Alligator mississippiensis: one gene and its partners. The protein of the gene in region 1 interacts with the protein of each later gene in a pairwise test. Links are inferred from orthologs where the notes say so. Each region holds a gene or a part of one and is shown in the gene's direction. Other genes may lie near its edges.

What was found.
Region 2: the proteins of CINP (region 1) and ATRIP interact in binary tests that used the Homo sapiens proteins (3 or more experiments, as listed by UniProt). The link is inferred for Alligator mississippiensis from reciprocal best matches to the Homo sapiens genes CINP and ATRIP.
Region 3: the proteins of CINP (region 1) and FBF1 interact in binary tests that used the Homo sapiens proteins (3 or more experiments, as listed by UniProt). The two-hybrid records come from large-scale screens. The link is inferred for Alligator mississippiensis from reciprocal best matches to the Homo sapiens genes CINP and FBF1.

Annotation. Positions count from the first base shown.
Region 1 is NC_081825.1:285,087,641-285,096,020, reverse strand, and holds the start of CINP (cyclin-dependent kinase 2-interacting protein), read left to right. Parts: upstream 1-5,306; 5' UTR 5,307-5,368; coding exon 5,369-5,375; intron 5,376-7,372; coding exon 7,373-7,541; intron 7,542-8,380. UniProt on the Homo sapiens protein: Component of the DNA replication complex, which interacts with two kinases, CDK2 and CDC7, thereby providing a functional and physical link between CDK2 and CDC7 during firing of the origins of replication.
Region 2 is NC_081835.1:37,258,204-37,266,053, forward strand, and holds the start of ATRIP (ATR-interacting protein), read left to right. Parts: upstream 1-4,465; 5' UTR 4,466-4,873; coding exon 4,874-5,288; intron 5,289-6,937; coding exon 6,938-7,023; intron 7,024-7,850. UniProt on the Homo sapiens protein: Required for checkpoint signaling after DNA damage. Required for ATR expression, possibly by stabilizing the protein.
Region 3 is NC_081831.1:13,306,543-13,313,867, reverse strand, and holds the start of FBF1 (fas-binding factor 1), read left to right. Parts: upstream 1-3,940; 5' UTR 3,941-4,181; exon of another isoform or gene 4,182-4,259; intron 4,260-4,908; 5' UTR 4,909-5,027; coding exon 5,028-5,030; intron 5,031-6,296; coding exon 6,297-6,324; intron 6,325-7,325. UniProt on the Homo sapiens protein: Keratin-binding protein required for epithelial cell polarization. Involved in apical junction complex (AJC) assembly via its interaction with PARD3. Required for ciliogenesis.

The DNA of each region.
Region 1 (8,380 bases):
GGACCTGCATGTTTGGTAATGTCAACAACTCATGCTCAAGAACAGCGGCTGGCAACGTTTGGGAACTGCAACCAAAACAACCCAGCTCAGACCCAAGTTGGGCCAGTGTTCCATCCTGGCCATCACCACTTCTCCTTGCTTCTTGGTTATGGCACAGGTGTAGCTTCTCGCTGCTGGCACTAGCACTGGCAAAGCCCTCCAACTCTGTGGGCCAGATCCAGTGGCTGTGGCACAGATCCAGCCCGTGGGCTGTGTTGCCAACCTCTGCTCAATAAAATTATTTTCATGTACAGCAAATCAGGTCATACTACATAGAGAACCTACAGTACAGATTAGGTAGTATGCTAGTGTTTTATAATACACCACAGCCTCCCATGAAGAAGTGAGACTCTAGCCTCTTCAATCCACAAAAACCACAATTAGCTTTTCTAGATATGACTCTGTGAAAAAGCACTGCTTTCTTTATCAAGTCTCAGGATGGAGAACATGACTCAAAACTTGTAAAAAAGAGAAAGAAAATGGTGGGGATACCAGACTTGGACTTGGGGGATAAGGGTTCAATTTCAGACTCTCCCACAAACTTTGTGTGTGATCAAATAAGTTTGCTATATCTCACTGCGTATCTGCTTCTTCTTTCTACTACAAAGAGTATTTCCTTTTTCTTATCTTTTCCTGAATTGCCTTTTAAAATAAATTTAAGGTCTTTACAGGAGGGATGAACTCATATGATTTTGCCCAGCACCTATACAATGGATTCTGATCTCAGTTGAAACCGCTAAGCAAGTGGTTCTCAACTGTTTCAGAGCAAAGGGCACCTCTCCATCAATTTTTTGAATATGTTGGCACCCCTGGTTGAGAACCACTATTGGTGCTTCCTCAACTTACCTCAGTATTTCTCAATTGGGTGATGCTGCCTCCAGTTAGAGCTGTCCCATATACATGCTGCAGAGGCAGACCAGGACTGGCTGTGACATGTGCACATGCTCCTCCTCCATTAGGATTCTCTGATATCCCTAAAGCAGACAGAGCTGGCTTAAGCTGTAGCCCTACCTGGTCCAGACCCTCATCCCTCACTTTTCTCCCAGAAAGAGGTGAGCACGTAAAACTGTCCTCTCTGCCTCTGCTTCCACAGCACCCCCAAGAAGATCTCATGGTACCTCAATCGAGAACCACTCCTCTAAGTTCTGTAACAAAAAATGCAACTTGCAAACCTTCTTCCACTGAGTTATTTTCCATTTGGGCACTTAGTTTGTTTTAATCTGCAGTTTATATTCCATTAAAATACTTCAGAATGAGACTGTAACATCAAGTGAGTTGCCTATTAACAACAACAACAACAAAAATTTCACCTTCTATTACAAACTCAAGATGATTGCATTTTCCATTATTACCCATGTTTAAATGGACTCCAAGATTGGCCAAAGTTGTTCTTGATATTTTGGATTCATGGCTAGCAAGCTTAAAGATATTGTCTCACAATACAAAATGTTTACTGTGGAGGAATTTTAAGCAGCCGCTTCTGCGTCCAGAGCCAAAGAACATTCCACACCTAAAACAATGTTCTAGAAAACCAAGGCCTAGAAATACCAGTCTGCTACAAAAATTAAACACACACATTTGCAAAACCAATGCCACACACACAAATAACAAACCACAGTGTTGTTCAACATCACAAAAATGTTACCTAGGGGTGGATCCAGGAATGCACTGGTGCACTTGCACCTCCATTTGATTCCTGCTCTATGCAAAGTTTAAAACCAACTGCCTGATAATGACAGCAGCATTACTAGTCAGGCAGCACTGAGGGAGTCGCTTGACTTCATGGCTTCTTGTCATTTACCTGCTCCCCTCTAAAATTTTCATTCCACAGGTGTTAATGACCTTCTCCTTTTTAATGGTCTTGATCAGCATTTCTCAACCGGTGGATCGCGCCCCAAAAGTGGGTTGCAAGAATATTTGAAAGGGTTGCAAGGAAGTCCCAGAAAAACCCACGAAAGTGCAGGTTTCCCCTTGCAGGCTGGCAGTGTTCCAGCCTGCTAGAGCTGCTTAGGATGTATGGAAACAGCAGGCGCACATGCACCTGCACGCACAGACGCACATGGCCAGCATGCCACAAGGCTAGGTCGTGGGAGCAGCCCCAGCAGCTGGACACAGGTAAGTGTATGAGAAGCGGGAGATGGAAGTCCAGGGGACTGTCCAGAGGGCTGGGGTGTGTGTGTGCACATGTGCATGCGTGTCACACAGGTACTGAGGACAGTGGCCAGAGGCAGGACTGTGGCAGGGCAGGGGGAGCGGCAAGGAAAGGGTGCCTGGCCCTTTAGCAGGAAAAGAAGGCAGGGGTGGTTCTTCACAGAGGGGAGCTGCATGCCTGGGTGGGCAGCACAGGGCCACTGCCTATACACATACTCACTGCTCATGCTCTGGCCCAAACAGGATGGGGGCAGCTGGGAGCCCCAGCAGCAGGGCTGGGAGGTAAAGGACTATGGATTGGGAGTGAAGGACACCAGCATGGCCCGGGGGGGAGGGCGGGGGGGGAGAAGGGTTTGTGGCTTGGGGGTGAGGGGAGCTGGCAGGGAACTTTGGGTCAGGCATCAGCAGGGCCTGGGGGTTGTGGGCGGCTTGGGATAAGACATCGATCTTGGCAAACGGGTCCCAGAACGAATAAGGTTGAGAAGGTTGGTCTTGATCTTACACCAATCAAGCTATCCTTTGTTCTGCTATATGTTCGCTGCTCCTGGTACTGAAATGCCTATTTCACAGCCCTGCAGATGCTTTCTAACTCATTCCAATTAAGTTTGATTTGTTTTTGCTTCCATTTTAAACTGAATAACACAGCCCTAGTCCCCTAGCATATTAGTAACACTTCTAGTTTATTTTTAACTGGAAAAAAACAGATGTTGTTTTATATGTGATGACGCACCTGCCCCTCTGCACCCCGCTTTTCAAAATTTTAGATCTGCCTACAACCATACCCATCTCAGCACACCTTCCCAGCATGTCTAGACCCAGCTCACAGATATAAAAGGCCAGTCTGTGTACCTGTCCTTCCGTCCAACCTTCTTTCATTTGCAGGCCCCAAAAAATGTTGAATGGAGGTAGGGAGTGGGACCCCTTTGAATTATAAGTGTGGGTATTCACACACTTTTAATTGATCACAGTCATCTTTTATGGGCCCCTTAGACATAGTCTGTGGACCCCCAGGAATCCGCAGACTACAGGCTGAAAACCACCAGTCTATAGTGTTGTCATCTACAACAATTTTACATTCATCCTTGAACCAAGAAACCAGGCACTTTAACAGTATGTGTTTCCAGGCCATTTCCTTACTAGCATGCAAGAAAATTGCTGTGCAAGACTTCAACTTAAAGGCCCCTGCTACATGTTATGCAATTAACTGGTTAATTGCACAATAAGTTTAGACCGGCCACACATGCAAAGTGAGACTGGCCACAAGTGCAAAGTAACTGTCACATGATAAAAATGACTATAAAAATGCCAACATAAAGGTAGTGCTTGAGGCCCCTGCTACAGGGTACATATTACGCAATTAACTGGCTAATCTCACAATAGATTTAGCCTGGCCACAAAAGCGAAGCAACTGTCACACGATAAAAATTACTAGCCAGCTCTAAAAAGAGCCAACCTGATATAAAATCTGTACTTGAAAATGCATGACAGCTGGGTTCTATCCAGCTTTCATATGAACATGTAGCAGGGCCTATACTAGCACACAAGGTAGCTGTCGTACAAGACTGACTTATAGGCCCCTGCTATATTACATATATTATGCAATTCATTGGTGAACTATGCAATAAATTTAGACTGGCCACACCTGCAATGTAATTATCACGTGATAAAATGACTAGCCAGCTCTAAAAATCACCAAACAGCTATAAAGTTAGTGCTTGAGGCACCTACTACATGCTGTATGTACTATGCAACTGAGTGGCAAATTGCGCAATAAATGTAGACCGGCCACATGTACAAAGTAACAATCACATGAGAAAAAGGAGGCACCAGCTCTAAAAAGAGCCAACCCCCTCCAAAGTTAGCGCTTAAAAATGTGTGATAACTCTTAGAGCATCTTTACACATGCTCTGGGGCTGGGGGCACTCTAATTAAAGCACCTGCAGCAGCTCATGTATTCAGTATCCTGCACTTCAAAACAGCAGTGGAGGCACTTTAAGTAAAGCTCGTTCAGTGAGCTTTAGTTGAAGTGCCCCCACCTCCATTTTGAAGTATGGGGATGCTGAATTCATGAGACACAAAGGCAGCTGGCGTGCGTTAATTCATACAACTTGAACCAAGTCTGCTCTGACGTGCTGTAACTACAGTGAGTCAGAGCCGTGTCCCCGCACCCCTACAGCCACCCCTGGAGCTGGCTTCTGCCCAGCCCCCATCGCAAGGTGTGGCAGGGCCGAGGACCCCGGCACACACGCAGCCACACCCCTGAGGTGGCCTGACAAAAACAGCGGTGGCCTTAGGGCTGCTGGGGCTCTGGTCAAGTGAGGCATTTGGGGCCCCTTGAAGGCTTAATTTTGTTGACCTATAAGCAAGTCAGACATTTTTTATTTCAATTTCACATAGCCCTATCCACGAAACTGCAATGCAAGTATCTTAATACCTTATTGAGGATACAAATATTCAGTATCGTTCATTTTTATTTTTATAAAGCGTGGGGGCCCTGCGCAGCTGCCCGGTTTGCCCTCCCCTCAGGCCACCACTGATGAAGACCGTCCTGCATTCGAAGGCTCATCAAACTTGATGCCAGCTCCACAGCGGGTCTGCTCAAAGCGATCGCCCTATGAAGCCCTTCCTTCCATTTCGCATCGTTTCTGGACTCTCACGGTCACTGCGCTGCCTGGACGCTGCGTGGCTCTGCACGGCTCTCGCACGACAACAGCGCCCTGGGCGTGCGCAGCCCACCCTCACCTTCCCCCCCTCAAGCGGCTCAACCCCCGCAGGGGCCGGCCCGGCCCGGCACAGCCTGGACCGCTCCTTCCCCCTGCCTCGGCCAGGCGGGTACTGAGCACCCCGGGAGCGGCCCGGGCCGGACGCTGGCAGGGCCCCGCAGCCCCGGCCCCTCGAGAATCCCCACCTCGGCTCCGCCGCGGGGCCGGGGCAACAGACGCGGAGCGACGCCCGAGGCCCTCCCGCCCCGCGAGACAGCGCCCAGCGGAGGCGCCGCCGCCGCACTCACCTCAGCGCGGGGCCCGGCGGGGCGGGGGCGGGGGCGGGGCCGGGCGGGGGCGACGGAGAACAGCAGCCGCCGCTGCGCCGCTCCGAGCCGCGGCCGCCGGGGGGCGGGGCGGGGGCGGACGTGAGCTCACTTCCGGGGCGGGACCAGGCCGGGTCATGGCGGGCGGCGATGGCAGGTGAGAGCTGAGCCGGGCCGGGCGGGGGGTTTGCGCGGGCCTGGAGGAGCCGCTGCCGGGCGGCCCGGGGCTTGTCTGGGGCGGGGGGAGGCCCCTGCTACACGTTACATGTAGTGCGCGGTACAGCCACACGCTGCGTATTGCAGGTTGCGCCATGAACCCTGCACTGCATGTGGACTGGGCACACGTTACATGTGTAGTGCAGTGGACTGGGCACACGTTACATGTTCATGGTGTAATACTGTGTGCTGCACGTAGACCGGTCACACGTTACATGTGTAGTGCAGTGGACTGGTCACACATTACACGTTCATGGTGTAATACTGTGCACTGCACGTAGACCGGTCACATGTTACATGCATCGTGCAATGAACCATGCAGCACACATGGACTGGTCACATGTTACATGTTGCACAATGGCCCATACACTAAATATAGACCGGTCACCCATTACATGTATTGCACAATGAACTGTGCATGACACGTAGACTTGTCATGCGTGATGTGTTGTGCAGTGATCCATGTGCTACATGTAGACCAGCCACACATTACATATATTGTGCAGTACACACAGACTGGCGAAACACTATGTAGTACATGTATTGCACCATGAATCATACGTTACATGAGTAGACCACCCACATTACATGTATGGCACAATGAACTGCACAGTAAATGTCGACTGGCCACATGCTACATGTACCGCAGTTTGCCGTGTGTTACATGTAGACCAGTCACACATTACATGTACCGTGCAAGTATGGGCGACAGGTGTCTCCCAAGTCTGGGGAGGCACCAGATTGCCAATGGCGGGGGAGAGGGGCATTTCTGGTTTCGCAGCTGGCACTTCCAGGGGGTGCACCCCCTACGCGTTGCCAGTGGTGTAATGAATCACGTACTGCACACAGACCAGCCACATGCTATTATTTGTATGCATTGCTCAGTGAACTGCATAATACTCATAGACCGTCTACATGTGAAGTAATTGTCACAGGAGAAAAAAGGGGACTAGCTGGCTCTAAAAAAGTACTAAGTTGCAATAGAGTTACTGCTTGAACATGTGTGTCAGCTCTACAGCTGGTTGCTGCCCAGCTTTTGTGGGAATGTGCGGCAGGACCCCATGTTGGTAGCAAGGGTATGTGCCCACAATTGTTGCTGTTCCTGTAGCAACTACCAATTCCTGCCCCTCGATTTATGGCAGATCTGTGATGGTGAAAAGGGGGGTGAAGAGGGAGAGGTGCATCATTGCATAAAAAACATCACACATTTTTCTCCAGTTAAAAATAAACCAGAAGCTTTATTCATCCACTAGGGGCCTAGGGCTGCATTATTCACTTTAAAATTGAAGCAGAAACAAGTAAACAAGTCAAACTTCATTGGAATGAGTCTACACTAGTGGACCATGAAGACTATTAAAAAGAAGAGAGGGTCATTAACACCTGTGGAATGAAGAGTTTAGAAAGGATCAGGTAGATTATAATGAGTCATGAAGTCAAGTGACTCTCTCAGCTGCCTAACTAAAAATGCTGCTGGCATGGCCAGGAAGTTGGTTTTAAATTTTTGGTAGATCAGGAATCAAAAGGGGCACAAATGCACCAGTGCACATCCCCGTGGATCCGCCCCTGCCCTCTCTGCTATGATTTTCTATATAAAAGAGGGAAACCCCCCTGGTTCTTGTGGCAGTTTCTGGGATTGTGGGGCTTATCTAAGAAATTGAGCATCAGCCCACAAAGCATGTGCTCTCTCTTTATATCTTATCTTGTTTATAGGGTGTATCTCTACCTTGCCTTCTGACTGACTTCAGACCAACACAGCTGACTACCTCTCTCTTAAGTTACTGCCATTCTGCTAAATTCTGTTTCATTTTCTCAGCTGTCACCAAGGGAGAAGCAAAGAAAACATCACATGGACACGTGCAACTATGATCACCAGGTGGAGCAGCACTTCAGTTCCTTGTCACAAGTTTTAAAGCTGCTTTTTCTGTCCTTTTTACATAGCAAAGAGCCCTGCAGTTGTGACTCCCAAAAGACCTGTTTTATCTGTTAGCGCAAGGAAAATTAAGGATAATGCAGCAGATTGGCATAATTTAATGATGAAATGGGAGAGCTTGAATGATAAGGGTTTCACGGCCGCCAACAAAATTGTGAACCTGAAAATTAGCGCACAGTGAGTATGGCACGCAGTGAGTATGGCAAAATATGACCTATGGGCCAGATCTGGCTTGCCAAGGAATTTTATCTGGCCTGCAGTAGGTCACTTGGCCCTGCCTAGCCCAGGAACGGAGGACAGCCCAGCCATGGCACACGCAGCCAGTCCCACTGCTCCCAGGCACAGGGCAGGGGCAGCATGGCAGTCAAACTCTGCTTCTCAGGAGCAGCCCCTTTTGACTGCTGCCACTAGCATCTCCACTGCTGCCAGAGCCAACCCCGCTGCCCAGGCAACTCTGGCCTACCCGCCTTGCAGCCACCACCAGGGGCACGAGGGAGCAGGAGGGCACAGCGTCCATTAAGACTGGCTGGGAGCCCTGTGGGCAAGGTATGCCCCACAAGGAGGGTAGGATGGGACTGCAGGGAGCAGATCATGGCTCTGCCCTAGACCCTGCACTGTCACTGCCTTGGGATCTTGGCCCCTCAACCTGTCCCACTCCTGGACACTGCTCCCTGCCTGTCCAAGTGTGCCCTGCCTACAGGGGTCCTGGCTGATCTTCATGGAGATCCCACCTGCCTGCTCTGTCCAGCACCCACAGTGGTAGGTGCAAGGTGGATATACCCTGGCCAGATAATATCAATTGATGCCGTGTGCCAAGCTAGGCCAGCACTTCCCACCCCCAATCTCCCTCCCCAGCCCAAAATAGTTTATCCAAGTTCCTAAAGTGACCCTCCAGCCAAAATAATTGCCCATCCCTGTTTTAGGGCATAAGGTAACCTATTACTAGTGGGGTTTAGAAAGAAACTTTCACCGTAAACAGATTATTTCATTACTGCCTAATGTAGGCTTCTCACCTC
Region 2 (7,850 bases), on another chromosome or scaffold:
ATGTACTAATGCAACTTTGCTCTGGCACTGAAAAGTATTGCCTTTCTCCGGGGTGTGATCATGTCATGTAAGTCACATTGCCATTACAGTTGACAAGGTCAAGACAGCACTATCTTCTCCAGCAGTAGGAGAGCATAGCATGATGGGCTATTTCCCAATGCAGCGTACAGTGCTTGGCCATCACTTAAGAGGGTTGTGTCTTTGAAAGAGGTGGAGGACTGCAAAATAGGGAAGATTGTTTGGATCATCAGCAACTGGGAGACCACCATGGTCCAACACTCTCTAACCAACCCTCAACTATCCAGGGAGAATCCCAAGGGCTGGTGTGGTGTGGGTGCTAAGGTGTATGGTTGACAATTCAGAGATTGCAAGACATGAAAAAGAAAGGAGAGAGTCCCAGAACAGCACAAATGAGGATCATCCCCAAGGACACTTTGGAGGTCACCACAGGTACCTTGAGGGTTTGGGGGGTGACAAATGGACAGGGATACCCATCTCAGAACCTTGGGGCACACGTACTAATCATGTTTGATAGAGGCTGTTGAGATGGAAAGCCTAACATGTATAGGCCTCTAAATCACTGTAGAGAATTGCAAAGGCAGCAGAGGAAATTACTAGAAATGCAAGATAATACAGGTGCAATTCATACAGCACCTAGGATGGGGTCCTGGTCCATAACTGGTTCAATAGGAATATAAATAATTAATTACAGTTAATGACAAACATCCTACTGTTGGGAGTTAATTATCAATTTAGTCTCCAATTATCTAACCCTGCCCAAACAGCGGTTCTCTGTCAATTAACCCTCTGAAAGGTGGGGTAGTTCTTTGCCCAAAGCATATCTAATCACCACTTTTATTAAATAAATAACTCAGAGAATTGTTAAAAGTATACAAACAAGACAGTTTATTATAAAACTAACAAGAACAGGTTAGTCACAGAAATATACTTAGTCTTCTATACAAATCCTAACCCAACAATATCTTATCACAACAACGACAATAAAAAGGACTAAACTTTATTATAAGGGACAGGGGAACTTTATTTAGTTCTGCTCCGGTCACTGGGGTAGAGATGACTGCACCTCAGGCAGTGGCTTCTAATCTTCTTCAGACACGCACCAAGAAGAACCCCAATAACCCAGAAGAGAAGAACAGAATAGGGTAATGATTACGGATCAGAGCAGAGGGCTGCTACTTACACACCTGGAGGGAAGAGCCTGGGGAGCCAACCCTTTCTGCTCTGGTAGCAAACAAAGGATCTCCCATGGCGACTGGGCCCAGGAACCTCCGCGGCTCACACAGTGGATCCGTCACTCAGCCTCTCCGTGTGTGTCTCTCTCTCTCTCTCTCTCTCTCTCTCTCTTTCCTGCCAACAAGCACCCTGACTTCTTTCAGTCCAAAACACTCAGTCAGACTCCAATCACACACACACACACACACACACCTCACACCATTTCTGTCCATTAAAGCCCTTTATAAGGGTAGTGCACCTGGCACGCCAGGGCTCTACAAACGGCACATGGGTGTGCCCACAGCATATTCCAGGGCCTCTTGAGGGTGGGTCAGATAAAGGTCATCTGCTGACCTACTTAACATACAACTAAATGAGCCAAGCCCCGATTTCCACCATTACACCACTGTGTCATTCATGGTGTGAAATCATACTTATAGAAAATTATACAATAACAACAATGGTGTACCCTTCACTGCACACTTACCACTGAAGTATACTGTTAAGTGCATCCCACCACAAAATGAGTTGACACAAGACACTGGTCAACAAATACTCAAAATACTAACTATTGTGACATTCCTAGGCTCCAACTTTTATTTTTGCTAGGCAGGGGCTTAAGATGATGCTCCCTCTCCCATAATGGCATGGCTGAAGCAGAGGTGAGCAGTCTGTGGGGGACCAGGGACAGATGAGGACGGCCCACTGTCAGCTTGCAGCTGCCCACCCTGCTGCCTTCCTCACAGGAGCTCCATGCCAGCCGCACCAACATGACGAGGTGCCCCCTGCCAGCTCATCAGCACCAGGGGGCACAACTCTGTGCCACTACTTTGGCTGCTGCTGCTGGGCAGGCAGGGGGTGCCTCACCACAGTGGTGTGGCCAGTGTGGGGCTCCTGGGGGGAAGGCAGTAGGGCGGGAGCCCCAAAGCTGCAGCGGCCAGGCTGCATCCACCCCTGCCTCATGCACAAATCTGGGGGGGTATGTGCCCCCCACATTCTTCCTTCCTCAGGAGTGCATCAGCAGCAGAAAGCACCCCTTTCTCCCCAGTGATGAGCCACCCCTGGCTCTCTCACTCCCTGCCCCAGGCCCCAGGTATTGCCCTGGCTGGACAACACCCCTGGCCAGGCAGTTCCCCTACGCCCAGCCCCTCCCTCACTGTGGGGGCCTCAGTCTGTTCCACTCCCACCCCACAGACTTCCCCGCAGGCAGCTGGGGGAAGCTGCTCTCCACTGTTGCCTGGGGCTGTATTCCTGGTCACATGCATGTGGACCCCCTTGAGTCTCACCCCACAGCCCCCCGCAGGCTGGAACTCTGCCAGCCTGCAAGGGAAAACCTGCTGTTTTCCATGTTTTTCCACAGTGAAATGAAAACTCAGATCCCTGTACAATACTGGGAATCTGGGATAAATGCTGCCCCTGAGTCATGTAGCTGAGGACTGGGACTTGATGTTCCCATTTCAGGACTGTCCTGCCCAATTAGGGATGGGCGGTTACCCTACCCTCTTCTCAATGGGGGCCAGGGCCCTTGGGCCCCAATGTACTCGGCACCTATGGTGTCACTGCAACATTGCCATTCATTACTGTATTGTACCAAGGCAATGCAGTATCATGACACTACATCATGGTACTGAAACATCAGGACACAATGGCAGGACATTCCAATGTGCTCTGCTAAATTAGCTGTCACAGCACCATGATATTGCTTAGGCTGTGATGTTACCTGCTAAGGCAGTGATTCTCAAACAGGGGACTGGGACACTTTGTGATGCCACCAAATCCTTTGAAGGCTGCCGGGAGGTGTAAGGAAGAAAGCAGATTGTTATCAAAAACCCAGTACTGTTTGATTGTTTGAGAGAGACGAGACTACAGCCCGTCTATGATCAGGACTTCTTTACAAGCTTAGACACAGAATTCAGGAACAGTTACAAGTCCCTTAGAGATTACCTTTTTTTATACCAAATCAAGATACAATCTGACTTCCCAATTATCTCACATTCCTTTTTACCAGGTATGGTATTACTACCACCCTAGTTAGAACAAGAGACAACAGATGCTTCTATAATCCAACCTTTTATTCATTACACCCCAAAGCATAAGGTAAGCAATTATCTCTATGCCTATCTACCTACCTGCAACTGCACAATAGCCTTATCTTCTATACTGGGGGGAGATGCCGGGAGGAAGAGGAAGGTGCCATGCAGGCTTGCAGCAGGCAGTCTTGAACTTGCTGAGGTCTTTCCTAAAATTTCTGTTTATACCCAATATGTATACATTGCTCATTTAAATATTCTGGCTGGTGTTATTGTGTGGACTTGGAAGATGCCAACTAGCTGGGGTCTGGGTCCCTGTAAGAGGTGCAGTTTTGGGAGACAACTTCTGGTCTCTCTCTCATCATGTGGGAGCACTACTTGCCACCTTGTGCTCTTTTACTTTGCTGACTATGCCAGTTGAAACCTCTGCAGACATCCAATCCTAGAGAAGCTTTGTGGCCTCCTTTAGCCACACTTCTGCAACCTAGCATAAGTCCCTTGAAAGCAGCTGAGGCTAACAACAGGGTCACAAAGACATATTGTTATTGCAGGAGGATTCCAGCAGACTACAAACAACTCCATCATCATCACAAGGCAAAACATCGCTGGTTCTTCCTTGCTCCTGTTACACTTCTCACAAAAAAACAGTTCATTCCTGGCCCAGCCTAGCACTAGGGGCTTGATAAACAGATTCTTATTCTTTTTCAGGCCACTGCTCATGATTTAAATGCAGCCCAGCTTCAGCACATACACCCCCAGCTCAGGCTTTGCCCGGTCCCGAGTATGCACCGGCCAGTGCACCTGGCAGTCCCGGGCCCACAAGAGAAGCAGAGGCCGAGGCCCACCCGCCCCTCTGCAGAAGGCGACACGGCAGCGCCCGGCATTGCCCAACTCACATAAGCTACCATAGCTCATACGAAAGAGGCTGCGAGCGGAGGCTTCGCCAGGGGCAGGCCGCCGTGCCGCGGCTGCTGGGGTATAAGAGCTCCGTGCTTAAACCACAAGCGGCGCGGCGCGGCGCGGCCCGGCCCGGCCCGGCCCATCTGGCGCAGCGCTTAAGGGCGCCAAAAAGTGCTGGAAGCCTCGCTTCCTTTCATGAGATGCCGTTGCCAATCAGGGACAGCCTCACAAAGCCGCTTCTAACTGCCAATCGTAAAGACTTTTATTACTAACATTTCCCAGACTGCTGTTGTTTGACCTCTGCAGGTCCCGGCCGGAGTGATTCTGCCTGGGGCTTCTCTGATTGGTCAACGAGAAGAAATGGTCGCCGATTGGCTGTGCTGGCTGGCGGGTCTCGCGTATTGCGCGGGTCGGGAAGCTGCTCCAGTGCTGGCAGCGGTGGCTGGTTCTGCTCCAGGGGAGCAGCGCTCCCCGACCGTCTGCCTGCGGAGGGGCCGTGACTTGGCCGAGGGCGCACACGACGCATCCCGGGCTACCTGTCCCGACTGGCAGGAGCCAGCACTCTGAGCCCCGTCCAGTCTGCGAGGCTGGGCCCCGCCGGGCTCCTGCGGCGCGGCCGCTGCCCGACGCTCAGCGGCCCTTGTCCTGCGGCTCCGCGTCTGTGGCAGGCTGCGCCGAGCGTTGGCTCTGCAGGCAGGTGCCGGGACAGCATGGCCTTGAGCCGCTCGTCTGGAAACAAGAAGCGGAGCGGCGCCTTCCTCTACGGGGTGGATCCGACGCAGGTTCTCTCGTCACCTTCCACCTGGCAGGGGGCTACCGCCGGGGTCGGCTTCCCACCCAACAAGCGCTACAAAAGTGTTGATGTGGGGATGGCCCAGAAGGCAGAAGATCTCTTTGGTGATAATGATGACTTCACTGCTGCTGACTTGGAAGAAATTGATATAATTGCCTCCCAGGCACTGTCACAAGGCCGGGACTCAAATACCCTTCCTAGTACAAACGTTAAGAAACCGGAGCAGGATGTCAGGCCGTCCTTAATGCTAAACATCATCCATCAGAAGTCTGTGAACGTTAGACCGTGGAACGATGCTTCCAGCGCTGAACAAAATGCCAAAGCCGGGCTTGGTATGTGCAAGCCAGTACGTGGGCCTGTGGCGGGGCAATTGGCACCCCACGTCTTCGTTCCCAGACGTGGGGTGATAAGGCAGAGCTGATAAATCCATTCTAGCTGGGCTACTGAAGGTGTCTGAAAGGAAATAGGCCGTGGAATAGTCTCATTCTTTAATTTCAGCTCAGTAGTAAATGTTACTGTTGACAGTTTCATTTAAATCAATGAAGCCGTTCTTAAATATCAGGACACAAGGGAAAAATGTTTTTCATCGGTTGGGAAATCTCTTCCGGTGCTTTCTCTTTCTTTGTGTGTGTGTTTGGGTAACTCGATGGTACAATTTTTGGAGTTGTCGCCTGCAAGTAAACAATCGGCTAGATAGAAAGCACTACAAAATGTATGGTTCAGTCATGCTGTGACGTAAAGAAAAAAGCTTGAGGGAAGCCATTATGCCAAGTGTGTGTGGCATGGTAATGCTTTACTATAATAAGTACCTGCTTTGTGTATGTAACGTCTTCCATCTAAGGAATTAAGCCAGTAATTCTCTACAAAGGTGTCTTGAGATAATTTCAAGGGTGCCTGGGGGTGCTGTGCAAGTGTTAAATCAGCCCTTCATCCTTTCAAAGTAGGTACAGTACCTTGAATTCCTCTTATTTTTTTCTGTAGGTAAAGTATTTCAGGGAGGACTAGAAGAATCTGTGTTCTTGACTGTTCAACCCAGATATGACAGGTTTTAGGGCATCTCTCTGAGCAGCAGCATGCTGGTCTGTGCTTCATCTTTCTCCATCCCTCTTCCTGACAACTGTGCTGCCTGGTTATGTTTTATTTGTTCTGTGTGTATAGTTTTTGTTGGACTTAGTAAACAGCATTGAAATGTGCAACGAATAACTGTATGGTAAATGACTGACTAGTTACAGCTGAAGAAGGCTAGTTTGAAGTTGCTAGGCAAAATGACCTTAATTGGATTGCATACTTGCATTTTTAATGTAGTTTCTCAATCCTTGTGTCTTGTAAATAGATCCTGTGGTAGTGCATGCATCTAGTTGCAGGTTTACAGCCTAAATTTGCATCCACTTCATATTTTAAATGGGGTGGAGGAAGACCATAGAGAATATTTGGTATTCTGAGTTTTTTCTCTGTGGTAGGAATATGGGCTACCTATCCAAAAGATCATATCTATTGAATTTGGTTCAACATTTGGGTATAGTGTATTTCATGGTGAGATCAGGGGAAAAAATTTTAACAAAAGTAAAACCAAGAGAAATGACTGCATGAATTTAGAAATCTGGTGGAATCAGGCTTTCACACAATCTATTCACACACTTATTGTGTGTTTGGATTACAGACACATGCAGCTGAAAGTGAGATAGTATATACACACTTTTGTTTCTAGACATCTTTTGTTGTATTTGATAAAGTATATTGTGGTATAAATAGCAAAAGAAACAATTTCAAAATCTGATTTAATTTTACAACTTCCAGTATTTCTGTGTGTTCTTGTGAGCCTATATGCATGTTTTAGTAAAGTAACCATGGAAACTGTAAGTATGAACTTCAGGACTAAAATATTAATATGTATGATGATGAATATAAAAATATTGTGATATTAACATTTTATAACCTATATTACTTCAGAGTGAAATTAGTATTACTTCCTCTTTTTCAGTAGGAAATGGCACAGAAGATATTCTGGTTAAAGACACATTTCAATTTGAAGTACTGCAAACACAACATGAAAACCTTAAGGAAAAGGTTAGATACTTTTCTTTCTTTTTCCTAATTGTTTTTTGTACCATTCAGTACAGCATTTTTAAAGTAGTTTTGAGTCTTCTTTAAGTTTTAACTGAAGATCTTTTTAATTTCATTACATTATTCACAAGGGTAGAAGGGCCACCCTTTGTAAAATACATTGGAGCCAAATTGTGCTGAGAGGTATCAATATCTTGAGTTTCCGATATAACATGAAACTACAAGGCACTAATTAATCATGAGTTTCAGTCCAGCCCTTTTACAGTAGAAAACAGAGAATCAAATATTAGTTGGCAGCTCTGTTATGTTGTTTCCCATTAAATCCATATTTCTTACCTGTCCCTTGTCATTCAGAAAATATCTGTTTTGCTTAAGTTCAGGGCTTGAGATCAATGCCATGATCTGATGCCATAAATTTGTCTGTGTATTTACCTCATTATATGTTTGAGAGAGAATGTGAGTCAGAAGTGGATGCATGGTAATTGCCATGAGACTCCCTATGTAGCATAATTCTTGGGACAGTGCACTACTTGCTGTGTCTGTTCTAAGATGAGTTGATGAGAGCTGCTTGACTGCCTTATTGCAGCTATCTGCATGTTACTAGGGCAGGATGAACCCAGCAGAGGATATAAACTACATTTCCCTTTGTGCATTGAATGCTTAACCAAGGAAAGACATATTATTACAGGGGGAAGAATAATCTGAGAAGAGTATAAGAGGTGTCAGGGGGACCCAGTCTGTGTTTTGATAGACCTAGTACAGGGGTGGGCAATTTTTTGGCTGGAGGGCTGCTTAACAAGTTTTGATGAGTTGTCAGGGGCTGCATGGGT
Region 3 (7,325 bases), on another chromosome or scaffold:
GTAATAATTTGTGGTGAAAAGTCACCATTTGCTGGCGGAATTTGCAAAAATGACCTATGACAAAGCCAATATTTGTGAACAAGAATTGGTTGGGTTGGGTCTTGTTGCCCCATTCAGCTTTATCTGTAGTATCCACAGTGGTGTTGCATGCAAACAAAAACCTCTCTCAAGTGGAGTGCCTGCAGTTCTGCTTCCTTTCCCCACCCCGCCCCATGTACTTCTGATCTGTTTAAAAATTGTCCATTTTATACTGAATGAAACTTGCACAGTTGATTTCTGTATTAACAGATTAAAGATTTAGCTTTTAACAGAATTTTGTGTTCCTCTCTGAATCTGTGCAACAAAAGACAAAAAGAGCTTGCTTAGGTTTTGTTTTCTATTGACTTTGTTTGGCTACAGAAACTCCCTCTCTCCCCACCCCCAATCGATGAAGAGCAGCTTTGAGGTTCAGGACCTCCCCTTAAGGTAAGCCGGAGTCCTGTGGTTCAGAGGTAGAACTGAGAATCTGGTTCTGGTGATCGTTTTAGAACATGTTAAAGATGCACTCAGGCAGCATTTCTGTTGGGAGGGTTTGTAGCACCTCCAACAAGAGGACAGCACTGGGCATTAAATCTAAATGAAATGCTTAGTTTAAAAAAAAAATAAAAAAATCCAATGAATAGAGGTGCACCGATACATCGGTCTCATATCAGATCGGCACAGATATAAGGAACATTGACGGCATTGGCAGTCTGTTTTTTTTGGCTGATGTGGCTGATAATGTGGCCAATAAATGCCCTGTGAATGTGCACAGCTGCAGCGCACCACGCAGGCAGCCTGAAGCACAGCCCAGCAGTGGAAAGCAGCCGGGTCTGACTGACAAGTCTGTTGTGGGGGAAGGGGAGAGGGGCGAGGGAAGGGCCATGTGGGGGGTAGACCAAGGCTACGCCAGTGAGGGAGGGAGTGGGGCTGGAGCAGGGGCAGGCGCTGCACAGAGGGGACCTCAGTCCGCCCTTCCCCATAAGACTTACCAGCCAGATGCTGCTCTCCATGCTGTCTGGCTGCATATCGGCAATAAGATTGGTATTGGCCAATACGGCTTGTTAAAAATTGACCACGAGCATCAGCCCAAAAATTCTCTATTGGTGCACTCTACTAATGACAGTTCCATAGTTTTATAGTTGCTAGGGTCAGAAGGGTCCTGAGCAGGTCATCAAGTCCGACCCCCTGCCATGGGCAGGAAAGGATGCTGGGTCAAACGACCCCGGCAAGGTGATTGTCTAGCCTCCTTTTGAAAACCCCCAGGGTAGGAGCAAGCACCACTTCCCTTGGAAGTTGGTTCCAAATCCTAGATGCCCTAACTGTAAAGTAGCGCCTCCTGATGTCTAGCCTGAACCTGTTCTCCGTCAACTTATGGCTGTTATTCCTTGTTACGCCCAGTAGTGCTGGGGGGAACAGGGACTCTCCCATTGCCTGCTGGTCTCCCTTGGCCAGTTTATAGACAGCCACCAGATCCCCTCAGCCTTCTCTTGTAGAGGCTGAACAGGTTCAGGTCTCGTAGCCTCTCCTCATGGGGCCTGCCCTGCTGCCCTCTGATCATGCAAGTGGCCCTCCTCTGGACCCTCTCAATGCTGTCCACATCTCTCCTGAAGTGCTGTGCCCAGAACTGGATGCAGTATTCCAACTGTGGCCTGACCAGTGTCTCATAGAGGGGGAGGACCACCTCCTTGGACCTGCTCGTGATGCATCTGTGGATGCATGACAAGGTGCAGTTAGCCTTCCTGACTGCATCCCCACATTGGCAGCCCATGTTCATCTTGGAGTCTATAATGACTCCAAGATCCTATTCTGCCTCTGCGCCGACAAGAGGGGAGTTCCCCAGCCTGTAGGTATGCTGCTGGTTCTTTCTCCCTAGGTGCAGTACCTTGCACTTGTCAGTGTTGAAACCCATCTTATTCTCATCTGCGCACTGCTGTAACCTGTCCAGATCCAATTGCAGCCTGTCCCTCCCTTCGAGCATGCCCACTTCTCCCCGCATCTTAGTGTCATCTGTGAATTTGAACAAGGTGCTTTTCACCACCTCGTCCAAATTGCTGATAAAAATGTTGAACAGTGCAAGCCTGAGTACCGAGCCCTGGAGGTCCCCACTGCCCACATCCCTACAGGTTGAAAAAGACCTGTCCACCACCACTCTGGGTGCGGCCATCCAGCCAATTGGCGACTCATCTGACTGTGTAAGCACCGATACCACAATCTCCTAATTTTTTAACAAGAATGGGGTGAGAGACCGTGTCGAAGGCCTTCCTAAAGTCCAGAAAGACTATGTCCACCATGACACCTGCGTCCAAGGATTTTTGTGACCTGGTCATAGAAGGCCACCAGGTTGGTCTGACAGGACCTGCCTCTGATGAATCCATGTTGGTTGCCCCTACGCATACACTCCGCTGCTTGCCCCTTGCAGATATGCACCTGGATAATTTTCTCAACAAGCTTCCCCAGGACCGAGGTAAGACTAACAGGCCTATCATTTCCTGGGTCCTCCTTCCTCCTTTTTTGAAAATGGGGACCACATTGGCCCTTTTCCAATCCTCTGGCACCTCGCCAGAGCACCATGAGTGCTCGTAAAGCTGCGCCAGGGGTCCTGCAATGACCTCTGGTAATTTCCTCAGCTCTCTGGGGTGGAAATCGTCAGGACCTGCTGATCTGAACATGTCCAGTCCCTCCAGAAGTTCCCTGACTAGGTCATCTCTGACCCTGGGATTCCGGTGGGGGAGATGACCTGGTCCCTGCTCAGAAAAATGGAGGCAACAAATTGTTAAATAGGTTAGCTTTGTCGTCTGGTGTGATGACCAGATTTCTAAGCGTGTCCTGCAGAGGCCCCATGTTACCCGGAATGTTCATTTTCTTCCCTATGTATTTAAAAAAGGACTTCTTGTTATCTTTGATCCGGGTTGCTAGTCCCAGTTCCATCTCCGCCTTGGCCTTCCTAACAGCCCCCTTACAATCCTGAGCAATGGAGATATAGTCCTCCCTGGTGATGGCCTGTCCCTTCCATTGGGTGTATGCCTCTGGGCCTTTTCCAAGGAAGAGCCCAGACCCCTACAGATTGATCCAAAACAGAAGCAAGAACCAGCTTCAGATGCCTGAGCAAGTGTGCTGAATGCAGGTGGGGGATTGCGTAACTAACCTCCTTCACACGTCTGTGAGGAAAGACATGGGCAAGGAACAAAGAGCTCCGCCCTGCATAAGGCTACTGGGCCTTGACAGCTCTTGCTCTTCCAGCTCGGCTCCTCCACGTGCCAGTGCAACAAGTTTGGCTCCTTGTCTTTTGAAGTAAACACCTGCCTCTCAAGCACTGCCCTGGCAGCTCTGGTGCTGTTTCAAGACTAACACAGCTACAACCTACACCCGTTTCAAGACCACGCTTTCTCTCTGCAAGTCCTTAACATGTCCCAGGATTACTAGGGGTAACACACAGGCAGCCCCTGATGCCCCAGTCTGAAGAAATGCTTCACCCACTGCAGCCAGGAAGGGGGAGGACTGTGGCCCCTTGTCCACCAGCTTCCCTGCAAGCCTCTCCCCCCCGCAGGACTCCAGCCCAGGCTGCTGAATGATTTGCTCAGCTGTTTGGAGTAGCCTTCAATTCTGTATGGGGGGAGGGGCTCCCCGGTGGATGCGGTGACTACAGCAGAGGGAAGCTGTCCGTCCCAGTTATCACCAGCTGCACGGGTGCTAAGAGCCAGCCTAGCCCCCACGGGCGCCTGATCTAATGCGCCCAGGGGCCCGGGCATGCGCAGTACGCCTGAACCACTGATTGGATGCCAGCCCGCCAATCACCTGCCTCAGCCCGCGACCTGCCTCTACATCCGGTTGGGCCCGCAAGGGGTGCTGGGAGTTGTAGTTCAGGGAGGAACTACGTCTCCCGGGAGGCTCGAGGCTGAGCGCCGAGGTGGGAGCAGTTGCTGTGGCAACCGCGCGGGTCCGCCCCGGCTCAGCCTGCTCCCGCCGGGGTGCGCGGCGCGGGCTGCAGCCTCCGCCCGCAGGAGACCGGGGTTTTCTCCCTGCCCCCGCCGCTCCCGGCACCGTTCCCTTCGTCTCGTCCTGGGTCCGCAGTTGGGCCTGACAAGTCATTAAGACACAAAAACCGACCGCGGACCATTCACGTCCCGGCCTCGAGCCTCAGTTGGCAGCACTGACCCAGGGTGAGCTTCCCTTCAGCCTGCTGGATGCAGAAAATCATGGACACTGGATTTATGCCACGTTATAACCTGACTCCGCAGGTACCTCTCCGCAGTTCATCATCCCCCCACTCCTCAGTTTACATCCTCACCGACGGCCTTTCCTGGCGTGCAGACCGGCCGCCGGCCTCTTTACTATTCGTTCCCTCCAGGAAGAGCTTCCTCAGCCTGACGAGGGGTATTTATACCCGCAAGCTTGCAAAGAAGAATTTTTCCAGCGATTTGAGTCGGTCTAATAAGAGATATCAGACTCACCCAAACAGCCGTGTCCGCCTGAAACCGGGATGGTGTTTCTTACCCCTTTCGTGGGGGTATTTGACCGTCTCAATGTCTCTGAAACATTCAGGGGTCGTCCCATCCAACTCGCTGCAAGTGCCAAGCGCTTTTCTTTCTTTTTTTTAAAACCAATCTGCCCTTGCCTCCGTCTAGGTCAGCGCTTCCCAAACTTCACCTCGGCATGACCCCGTTTTCCTCAGCGTGGCCCCTCGTTCCCAGCTCCCCACCCCCGCAACCCCATCCACTGCTGTTGGCACCCCACTGGGGGTCGTGACCCACGGTTTGGGAACCGCTGGTATAGAGAGCGGTGAGATGGAAAACTTGAAAGGTCTTGGGTAGAAAGGGAAGTCGGCTGCGCAGCAATCCTGCTGAATGTGGAGGTTGAAGCAGGAAATCTTGCTCTCTCTTTCCTTAGACCAACCGGGCTTGAATCGATTGGGTCGCGGGATTACGTTGTTAAACCGTATCTGGAGGTGGAGACTGAATGACTGTGAGCAGAAGCCCACGGAAGAAAGGACCCCTGCAAGCCGTGAGATGGTGAGTGTGACATGAAGGGGCAATGGGTAGAAAAGAGTTATGAAAACTAGAAACAGAAACGGGCAGACTTCATTGCTGTGATGCCCTAAGGCAGAGGTTCCCAACCACCGGGCCATGGCACAATACCGAGCCACAAAGGGTTGGCTGTCGGTACGCAGTTTGCTGGTCCACAGTCACTTCCAGTCCACAGTTTGCCAATCCACAGTATAAAAAAGGTTGGGAACCACCGTCCTAAGGCAGCGATGATTGAATGCACCACTAGACTTTTGCAAATCCTGGCTGTCTAGTTAGCACCGAGCAGGGACTGTGCTTGCTACAGTTACTTATGGTAATCTTCAGGAGTATGCGGGACAGATTCCATTATTTCATGCATCATGTCCCAATTGGCCTGGGAAGCTTTCCCATATTGTGTCGGGATTGTACAAGAAAATCTGACTTTCACTTCAGTAAACAACAGGGATCGTGGTGGACGTGTCATACCTGGTATCGTAAGCCACCCTGAGGCTTTCTGGATAGTGCGGGACATGCATCTAAATAATGACAATAACAATAATGTTGCATCTGGGCTGGCTTGCCTAGACTGAGTTATCTAACGTGGTTCTACGATACAGAGAATTAACAGGGCAGTGATTCTGCTGCTCTGATCAGCACTGGTTAGGCCTCCCCTGGAGTACTGTGTCCAGGTTTGGGCCCCACACTTGGAGAACGATGTGGACAAATTGGAAAGAGTTCAGTGGAGGGCAACAAAACTAAGTGATTACAGACCTGGGTAACATGACTTATAAGGAAAGGCTGGAAGAGCCAGGATTATTTAGCTTGAAGAAGAGAAGACTGGGAGGGGGGGTGGCGGAGTTGATAGCAGTCTTCAAAAACTGAAGGATGATTATAAAAAGGATGGGAATAAACTGTTCTCCATGGCTGTAGGGGACAGGACTAGGAGCATGGTGTCAAACTGCAGCAGGAGAAATTTAGTTTGGAGATTAGGAAGAACTTTCTGACTGTGAAAGTGGTCAAGCATTAGAACCGGCTGCCTAGAGAAGCTGTGGAAACTCCATCCCTGGAAATTTTCAAGAGCAAGTTGTGCAGACCCTTGGCTGGGTTGGTTTAGTTGGGGATGATCCTGCCTTGAGCATGGGGTTGAACTAAATGGCTTCTTGAGGCCCCTTCCAGCCCTATGATCATCATGCAGGAAAAGTCCTGTTGGATGTGTCTTGCTTCCGGTGCTTATTATTTTTGTAACAAGCCAAAATTTATTTTTTTCCTTAGGCTACAAAACCGAAGAAAGGCTTAAAAGGTATGAGCCCTCGTCTGCACCTCACTACCCTTAGTCTGCTTGAGAATAGGTGGGTCAAAACTGGGGGTGCTCCTGACAATCATAGAAGTCCAAGGTGGTGAATCCTGGCTAATGATTCACTTCCTTGGTTCAAAGCCATGTCAGACATGCAGAGTGTTAGTATTGCTTGAGTCAAATCATTGCTGAATCAGCATTGAATGTCAGCTACCCCAGTGGTTCCCAGCCTTTTTTATGCTGCAGACCAGCAAACTCACTCAAAGAATACTGGCGAACCGGGTATAGAAACAATCTAATTTACATATTTAAATTTATTTTTTACATGGAGGGAGACAATGGCCAAAAATCATACGTACACATCACTAGCTGGCTAATGTTAGCTACCTAGCTGCAGAGGATACACATAGGAGACAAGCCAGACATTAGTGGTTACAACAGTCTCGCTGATAGGGAAGTGACTAGCCACAGTTACCACGGTCCAATTTCAAAATCTAAAGTCACAGTCATTGGCCAAGCGGAGGATATTTTCGCCCAGCCAGTCATCAGGGCATGGGTGCGGCCTGGGCATAGAACTGTTGCTAGCAGTGGTTAAAGCTCATGCCGTGACCCGGCAGCCAACCCTTCATGGCCTGCTGGTTGGAAACCTCTGAGCTACCCCTCAAATCAGATGGATATGCCTTTTCTTAGGCTCCTGTCACATACTAATTTAAAGTTGTCCTGGGATCTGATCCCCAATCCCAACAACTATATTATGCCACACGTGCATGGCAGGAGGCATGATTCTGGGATTGGGATCAGCTACCAGTTGCACTCTTTCTACATCATTATCCCAGGCTTCTCTGCACTGGCAGATTGAAAGCTGGTCGCCCACAGATTCCAGGCTGCATCGGGCCTGGTTTGAGACCCCACTGTGGTCCCTGGCTGAAGCTGACAAAGTCAGCTGAGTGTCAGCCCCTGCCCCAACCTGCTACACATTCAATTTAAGATGCCATACAAACCAGCCC